Oryctolagus cuniculus: one gene and its partner. The protein of the gene in region 2 interacts with the protein of the main gene of each other region in a biochemical or structural test. Links are inferred from orthologs where the notes say so. Each region holds a gene or a part of one and is shown on either strand. Other genes may lie near its edges.

Region 1 (4,800 bases), about 15 Mb from region 2:
TCCTAACAAGCATTATCAGGGCTGGCTGCAATGCAGGGGAGTCATGGACATTTAAAAATACTCCTTTGGATTCTCATCTTGACGTGACTGGAGAACAATGGTCATGCTGGGAACTGGAGGAAGACAGAGCCAGGGTGCCGGGAGCCCTCGGAAGCAAGGCCTGCTCACCAAGGTGCTCACCAACATCTCTCACCCTCTGCCTATTTAGTATGACAAAGTGAACAAGAGAAAAAGAACTAGGAAAGAACAGAAGGAAGAAGGAGGACAGAAACTAAAGGGGGAAGAGAAACCCATGGTCAGCAGTTGGGAAGGACAGGGGGAAGAATGTTTAGGTTTCCAAATGTAAAAGCCCCGAGCTAGGAAGAACCCAAGGACTGAGTATTCTTCAAGTGAAAGGCAGTCTCTCCAGAACGCCGTTCCTACAGGTGTTATCCAGGACACGGGAAGGCCATCCATAAGACACACGGCTTTTTTTTTTTTTCTCCTTTAGCTAAGTGGTTACAAGGAAAACAGATTGCATCGTTCTCAAGTGGCAAGTGGGTAACATATTGCTGAAGGAAATGGGGTTCAGTCAGCGCTGTGTGAGCACTGGACCTTGTGCAGTGTCATAACCCAGTTATCTGCCTCAAAGAATTTTAATTTCAGGTTTTGAGTTTCCTCAGAGGATGACACCATAGACATTTGTGGTCATGAACTTTTGAGCCCAAACCAGTTACGTGTCCTTAAACCCTGACCAGGCAGAATTACTGTGAATTACCACTGAATTTGAACGCCAAATGGTGGTGTCTCGCTCCAAGTCCCAGCATCACAATATAGTTTCTATAACTTTCTGTACAACTTTACAATGGATTTGTACTTCAGTGACTATTTTGATATCAGATTAAACTTTCCAAAAGTTACACATAATTCAGGTCTTTTTTTTTTAACCAGTAAGAGTTCTGCTAAATTACAAAACCCCATAATCACAGTGTTCAGTTTTTAAAAATTAAACACACAGTAATCCTGTCAATGTTAATCAAAATCAAAACTTCAGAATGCCGTGGCATTTATGTGACCAATCTAGATTTAGATACAAATACCAGCTGTTTATCCCATAGACCATTTTTGCTAGGCTGAGGCTGTGAAAATTGAAAGTCAACGTACGATTCTTTTTATCGCACAAAGGGATGTATGTGGAGGGCACAGAGTGACACCGAACAGATCACAAAGCACGGCAGACATTAGTTCTCTCCCTCCCCAGCATCTCCTTCATCTCCCTGGTTTTCCGACGTCCACAGCTGCAAGAAAAAAAAAAAAAGCACAATAATCAAAGTAGGGCTATGAACACTTACTCAGGGAGGTGGCCCAGTCAATGTAATCTTATCTCACGGAATTATTTAAAATTCTTCCTGTATTACTGCAGTGACGATTGCAAAGGTCAAAACTCAAGTAGGGGCTGGCGCTGTGGCTCAGCAAGTTACACTACCGACTGCAATGCCAGCATCCTATATGGGCGCCTGTTAAAAGACTCCTGGCTGCTCCGATTCTGATCCAGCTCCGTTCCAGCATGCGCCTGGGAAAGCAGCCGAAGACGGCCCGAGTGCTGGGGTCCTTGCACATGAGACTCAGACGAGCTCCTGGCTTCTGCCTGGCCCAGCCCTGGCCACTGCAGCTATCTGGGTGTGAACCAGCGGATGGAAGATCTCTGTCTGCCTCTCCCTCTCTGTAACTTTAGCTTTCAAATAAATAAATCTTTAAAAAAATTTAACTACAGGCCGGCGCCGCGGCTCACTAGGCTAATCCTCCGCCTAGCGGTGCCGGCACACCGGGTTCTAGTCCCGGTCGGGGTGCCGGATTCTGTCCCGGTTGCCCCTCTTCCAGGCCAGCTCTCTGCTGTGGCCAGGGAGTGCAGTGGAGGATGGCCCAAGTGCTTGGGCCCTGCACCCCATGGGAGACCAGGAGAAGCACCTGGCTCCTGGCTCCTGCCATCGGATCAGCGCGGTGCGCCGGCCGTGGTGCGCCGGCTGCAGTGCGCCGGCCGCGGCGGCCATTGGAGGGTGAACCAACGGCAAAGGAAGACCTTTCTCTTTGTCTCTCTCTCTCACTGTCCACTCTGCCTGTCAAAAAAAAAAAAAAAAAAAAAAAAAAAAATTAACTACATTTAACAAGATAAGATCCCTCTTGAATCTTGGAGAACAGAGAATTATTAAGTAGATGGAAAGGAAACAGACTGAAAGCCCTCCAGAAGTAGCACTCACGGTGAGATTGTCTCTAAGCAACTGCATGATCAGGGTGCTGTCTTTGTAAGATTCTTCATTCAGTGTATCCAATTCAGCAATTGCTTCATCAAATGCCTAAAACAAAGAGCTGTTAGTAAAGAATCCAAGAATTCTCTGGAGCTGGTTTAACCCATTTCTTTTGCACTATTAAGTGACTATAATTTCTTTTCTTGTACAGAACTTCAGGGCAACCTGGGCTATTATTCCCTTGTTTGCTGGTTGCTTCAGCAAACATACAACGTACATTTACAAAGCAGTAATGAACAATGACAAATATTCACAGTAAGAACTGTTGTACCCTCTAAGTAAGCAGTATTACTAGTAGCCCTAGCACATTTACTATAGGCAAATTCACAATTCTTTAATTACCAAAGACATTTCTAGTACTTTTTTTTTTCATTCTTGCTTTAACTAATACTCAAAAGGTCTGGATACAAAGATTAAAGGAAGACGAGTGAAACTTTTATCACTAAATCTGATTTAACGGATACAACTCTGAGAATTCATTTCATAGTGTGCATATTGAAAGACAACAACAATATGTAGAAAAGACTGAAGAGAGGAGGTAATTCAGTACACGAAGCACATGTGGTGTGACTTGTTCCACTTACACAGCCACAGCCTCCCATCTCCATACAAGGATGACAACACGCAATCCAGGCCAAAACGTGACGAGAAACAAGAAACTATCTTCACCTGGAATTTTCTACAACTCCCTCTCCCAACAAAATGCAAAAAACAAGTGAAACAAAACAAAAATCAGGAGGAGTTATTGAGGAAAACAATTTAAAAAGGAAAAGGTCTATATTTGTCTCATGAAAGAAATAATCTCACTCCCAGAAAACCTTTAAAAAGTCCAAGACAGTGAGTATGTTCAGGAATAAAAAGAAGACATCAAAAGCAAAGTTTATCAGGACCTGCAACCACAGCGGGTCTGTCTTACCGTTTTTGCCAGGCTGCAAGCCTTTTCAGGGGAGTTTAGAATCTCGTAGTAAAAGACGGAGAAGTTGAGCGCCAGGCCAAGCCGAATTGGGTGTGTGGGCTGCATTTCTTTCTTACTTATTTCAAATGCTTCCTGGTAAGCCTGCTGGGAGTTCGATACAGTGGCTGTAAGAAAGATGAAAAAATATTAAAAGCTGAGTTCTTTCATAGGTTGACACTGAATCTGTCAAAGCAGGTCACAGCAAATGATCAATCACTTAAGTTGTCACTATCTCCACCATTTAATTATACATTTGTCAAATATTTACTTACAAACCAAGTACTATATTAAATGGGTGGGAGGACACAAAGACAATTATAGAAAGGTCTACCAAAGGAATTAAAAAACCAAGACACAACTTTTTTTTTTTTAAAAAAGATTTACTTTATTTATTTGAAAAGCAGAGAGATCTTCCCTCTGCTGGTTAACTCCCCAAATATGGCGAAGGCTGAAGCCAGGAGCCTCCTCTGGGTCTCCCATGTGGGAGGTAGGGGCCCAAGCACATGGGTCATCCTTGGTTGCTTTCCCAGTGCATCAGCAGGGAGATGGATGGTAAGTAGAGAGCTGGGACTTGAACGGGCGTCCCTATGGGACACTGGCACTGCAGGCGGTGGCTTCACCCACTATGCGACAGTGCCGGCCCCAGACTAACATTTAATAAAACAGAATATGGACAACAACATGCCCTGGGTAGAAGGTCCTATGCTTTATAGCCAACAGACCCAAACTTCAATTCTCAACTCTTACTAATTAAGTAGCCGAGCGCAAGTAAAAACCTCTGTGAGGGGCAGGTGTTTAGCCTAGCAGTTAAAATGCTCACGTCTCCCATCAGAGCGTCTGGGTTTGATTTTTCAGCTCTGGCTCCTAACTCTGCTTCCCTCTAATGCAGACTCTGGGAGGCAGTGATGACAGCTCAAATAATCAGGTTTCTGCTACACATGTGGGTAAACCTGGATTGAGTTCCTAGTTCCTGGCTTCTACCCTGGCCCAGCCCCAGCCACTGAGGGCCTTTGGTAAGTGAACCAGCAAATGGGAGCTCTCTACCTCTCTACCAACATATCCCCAACAAAACCTCTGTGAACCTTGGTTTCCTTATCAGAAAAATAGGTAGACTTTCATCTAAATTCAAAAGGTGGGGCTGATGCTGTGGCATAGCGGGTAAAGCCACCATCTATAGTGCCAGTATCCCATATGGGTGCAGGTTCAAGTCCCAGCTGCTCTGGAACACCTCTCTCTCTCTAACTCTGCCTTTCAAATAAATAAATAAATCTTAAAAAAAAAAAAAAAAGACTCGTAAGGTTACATGAATAATAAATGAGACTCTAATACACTTGTCACATAGTAGCACTTCCCTTATTCATGGCAGAATCTGTTCCAAGACCTTCAGTGAATGCCTGATTTTGCAGACATAATTAAACTATATAAACATAACACTCAGTTTTTTCCTATATATACATACATACCTATGATAAACCTTAATTTACTAATTAGTCACTCTAAGAGATCATGAAAATAATGATGAAATAATTATAATACACTGTAAGTCTGTACTTTGGAGCC
Region 2 (4,093 bases):
CCCAATTCTCTCCCCATTTCCTGTTTGTGAACAAACTCTGCAGCCCAGCCCAGTCTGATCAAAGGCAACAGGAGGAACAGCAGTCATAGCCGCTGATGCCTTAAACCCACAGCCAGAGACCTCCAGCCCAGGAGAGGGATGCTCAGCTGTCCCTACTAATGGCTGGCAGCTGCTCCACCTGTTTGGGTCTTAACAGCTGGATGGGAACAGCTGTGCTGCGGATGGCATTACTCCTGCCCCCCCCCCCCCGCCACGACGGGGAGGTATCTGTCCACAGCAGAGCCCACCAGCTCTGTCCACTCCCTCTCTCTCACAAAGGACCTGGTCCAGGGCTTGGCCAGGGGTCAAGTGTCTGAAGCCAGAGGTTGCTGATGGGCCTAAGGCCCAATCAGTCTGCAAGCAACTGTATTGTGTTTGACACAGAGTGAATTAAAGCACTGAGTTAGTTGGAACATATTTTTAAATTGTGATTATTTCCTAGTTTAAAACAATGTGTAGAAGCAACAAAGGATAACAGGACACACATTGGACTTATGTTCCCATAGGACAAGGCCCAGCTGGGGTCCAGTACCCACTGCTCCCAGGGGCCACTGTCCCCACCACCCCTGGCCCCCGTCCACTTTCAGCCAGCTTTCTGAAAGCAGACACTTCTGAGACAGGAAGCCGAAGCCCAAGGCCAAGGCAGGTCACCGAGCCCTCTTTGTGGGGCCTGAGGACTCCTTCCACTCTCCCAGAGCTCTCCAGCGAGCTTTTGCTAGAACGGGGATTCCCAAAGGCAGGTGGCGACTCCTTTGTGTAGGGGTCCCCGGCATCTACTCACGTCTGCTCTGCCACCTGGGGGTCCACAGGGCTGGGCGAATCCATGCAGAGACCTGTGGGGACAGAGGGCCTGGGTTTGAAAGGGGTGACGTTCCCTACCTGTTTCCCCCCAGCATGTCCCAGGAAGGGGAGGAAGCCCTATTTCTGCTTTCCATCTGGACACACTTTAAAAAATGAGACAAGAACCTAGCCATGAGCTGACATGCTGTCCCCACACAACACAGGGCTCCACTCCCTGTTACTATGGGAACTCCTGTCCTATACATTTTAAAACCACAGTGCTTGCTAAGCATTTTTTTCATGAACTGGTTTAAAATAATTTGTTTTAGAAGAGATCACGGCTTCTTAAAGTTACAGACTCAGAGAATGCTGTAGACAGATCAGCTCGCAGGCTCCCGCGGCTCCCAGGTGGGGCTGTATGTGTGGTTTAAGGACTCTGGTGCCTGGTTTCGGATAGGTGAGATCTCCCCTCCCACAGAGGGCCCCACCCGGCCACCAGCCCGGGCTGGGTGGGTGGGTCCCGCCAGAGGTGTGTCTTCCTCCCAGTTTTGCAGGCCAAGCAGGGAGGCTCCCGGGCACACCAGGTTGTGGGAAGAATGTTAATCTGACCTTGCAGGGCATCCAGCAGCCCAGGCAGCCCCCCAAACTCAGACCTCCCCAACCACGTGTGGGGCCTCACCTGCATCAGAACACTCAGAGGAATCAGATGACAAGGAAGACTCGGATGCCCGCCGTGACAGGGACAGACGCGCCAGCCGGCTTCGGAAGAGCAGGCTCCCGGCCTGAGCCTCTGGGGTCTCACTGGGAGGGGAAGGGGGTACCAGAAAAGGAGAGAGGTAAATGCAGGCCTCCAGGCCCTCCCTGTTCTCAGTCACCCAGCTCTGAAGGGCCCACCTGCTCCTCAGGACAAGGAGGCTTAGCCCACCAAGTGCCTTCTCTTGGATGGCAGGCTTAGGAGAGGCCCTCCCAGGTGCAGGGCAAGTGATCACAGGGCGAGGGCAAAGAGGCTGGGGGCTGGCGTGGCGGTCAGTGGGGCAGCCGAGAGAGCAGCCCTGGGAGCCCTCTGCTCCTCAGACCCCTACCCATCCCAGGGCCTCCTTGGAGAGAGAGACCTGGGTCTCTATGGCTGCTGGGGGAAGTCAGCCCAGCCCCTGAGGCTTGCTTAGGGAACAGGATTAGGATTAATGACCTGAACCCTGGGGGCAGAAGCAGGGTGGAGGGAGCAGAGGCATGGGCCTGTGAGAACCCCACTGCTCTGCCACCCTCAACTTCCCCCTCCCGGCTCATATCTCCCCGCCTGGGGAAAATGGAGGAGATGCGGACAGAGATTGGGGTGGGGGGGGGCACCGTGGCCGAGTCACAGTAAGGGAGGGGGAGGGGAAGGAGGGTCCCTGGAGGCTTGCGCAGACCAAAGGGTCACCTGGAGGGTCTGATGCCCCTTGCCCAGGGCCCCTGAAGCAGGGGTAGGGACTCCCTCTGCGCTGACCCGGCCGCATCCCCACCCCACCTGTAGTGCTCAACTCCCACGCGCGGTTCCTCTGGAGCCGAAGGACCCCGTCCTGGTCTCTCACCCCACGCCCAGCCTCTGGGAGGCGTCCTACCTGCCGAGCCCCGCCAGATTATGCATGGTCTGTGTGAGGGTGGTGACCGGCGAGGAAGCGGCCGTGCGCTCCGGAGACCCCAGGAGATCATGAGACCCCAGCCGGAGGCCCGGGAGGTGGCCCGGACGCTGGACGCCACCGCGCACGCCGGCCGGACTAAGGGCCGAGCATGGTGCAGGCTCCGGCCGGGGCACCTCCATCGCGGCGGGGCGGGTGGAGGGCCTGGGGCCGGGAGCGGGCCCGGGGTTGGGGGAAGGGAGGGAGGGAGGAAGAGCAGTGGGACTGGGAGTGAGGGAGGAGAGGGATGCGGGGAGGGTGGGGAGGGGTGAGGGGCGCGGGACTCAAGCACCAGTCCGGGAAGCCTCTGACTGCAGCTGCCACCTCCACCTCCTTATATATTCGAAAAATAACAGCGGCCGCGCCGCCGGACGCCACCAATGGGGGCGCGGGTTAGAGGAGGGCGGGCCCGGGGGCGGGGCCCGCGAAGCAAGAGGCGCGGGGGCTGGACCAGCCCGGCCCGCCCAGCTCCAGCCTCGGGGGAGGCGGAGGAACTGGGGTCCATCCCACGGCTTGCACACCCGCCACCCCCAACCCGGGCGCGAGGTGGAGACCCCCCGAATCCCGCGCTCTGGGACCTAATGTGGAACCTTCCACCGACAGAGCGGGCCACAGGCCCCAGGGGGGTCCGGAAAAGAGGCACCCGGGGTTAACATCGCGCGCGAGCCCCAGGAGGATCCGGCACGTTTGCCAAGCACGGCGGCCCTGGGCGGGCTGCGTTCACCGTCCCATTTCACAGACGCGGATGTGGAGGCGTGAAGTTCATGGGCTTGTTCAAGGTCATGCATTTGGGAAAGTGGTGGGACCAGCCCTCGCTCGCTGCCCGACGCCCCTGACCCCGCCGGCTCCTTGCCCCAGCGTCTGGCAGCGCGGAGCAGCTCCAAAGGGTAATTCGTGGACCGAACGCCCAGTGCAGGCGGTGGGACGCCGGTGGGAGCCCGAGGCCGCCAGGGGCCCCGCTTTCTCTAGCAGTCCAGGGGAGGCTCTGACGGCTGGACTGGACCCGGGGCGTCAAGGAAGGGGCCAGCGACCAGAGAACTCGGTAATGGAAGTAGAACCTACAATGGTGGCTTGGCTCACTTGGTATCAATGGCATAGTATTGTTCAACTGGCGTTTCTTTGTAGAATCTGTCATTAGTTTAAATTGGGCATCTTCTAATTACCTAATCACCTCCCAGCTGAGCCCTTGTCTTCCTGGAATGAGGCCAAAGGGCTGCACCCCTTCTGGGGGGTACGCAGCGCACCCCGTCTCCCTGGGGAAGCGGCGACCTCCCGAGGGTGACAGGCTCAGGAGGGGAGCGCAGCTTGGAGGGAGGGGTCGCGAGCACCCGCGTCCCTTCCCTCGCTGCCCGAACCTCGCCCCTGGGTGAGGTTGGCGAAAGGGAGTGGCGGGGTGGGGGGTGGGGTGGCGCTGCAGGGTTGGGGAAGGAGAGGGGAGGCTCCAGTCCCACCCGAGAGGAGCAACTTTGAACATTCTGCCCAGCCCCGGTGCTGTTTCCTTTCATTCTCGGCAGTCAAGGGTCTGGCTCTGACCCTCCAGCCACCGCCCAGCCACCGGCTGGGAGGGATGGGGGGGGGAGGGGGGCTGTGCCTCAGGAGGCGACCCACCCTACCTA

What was found. The genes of interacting proteins can lie anywhere in the genome.
Region 1: the proteins of CDC25B (region 2) and YWHAB form a complex in vitro, tested with the Homo sapiens proteins (2 studies listed by BioGRID). The link is inferred for Oryctolagus cuniculus from reciprocal best matches to the Homo sapiens genes CDC25B and YWHAB.

The regions. Positions count from the first base shown.
Region 1 is NC_091442.1:14,249,469-14,254,268, forward strand, and holds part of YWHAB (14-3-3 protein beta/alpha), read right to left. Parts: intron 3,366-4,800; coding exon 3,202-3,365; intron 2,334-3,201; coding exon 2,238-2,333; intron 1,278-2,237; coding exon 1,221-1,277; 3' UTR 1-1,220. UniProt on the Homo sapiens protein: Adapter protein implicated in the regulation of a large spectrum of both general and specialized signaling pathways. Binds to a large number of partners, usually by recognition of a phosphoserine or phosphothreonine motif.
Region 2 is NC_091442.1:29,126,786-29,130,878, reverse strand, and holds the start of CDC25B (M-phase inducer phosphatase 2), read right to left. Parts: upstream 2,801-4,093; 5' UTR 2,621-2,800; coding exon 2,421-2,620; intron 1,621-2,420; coding exon 1,499-1,620; intron 873-1,498; coding exon 821-872; intron 1-820. UniProt on the Homo sapiens protein: Tyrosine protein phosphatase which functions as a dosage-dependent inducer of mitotic progression. Directly dephosphorylates CDK1 and stimulates its kinase activity.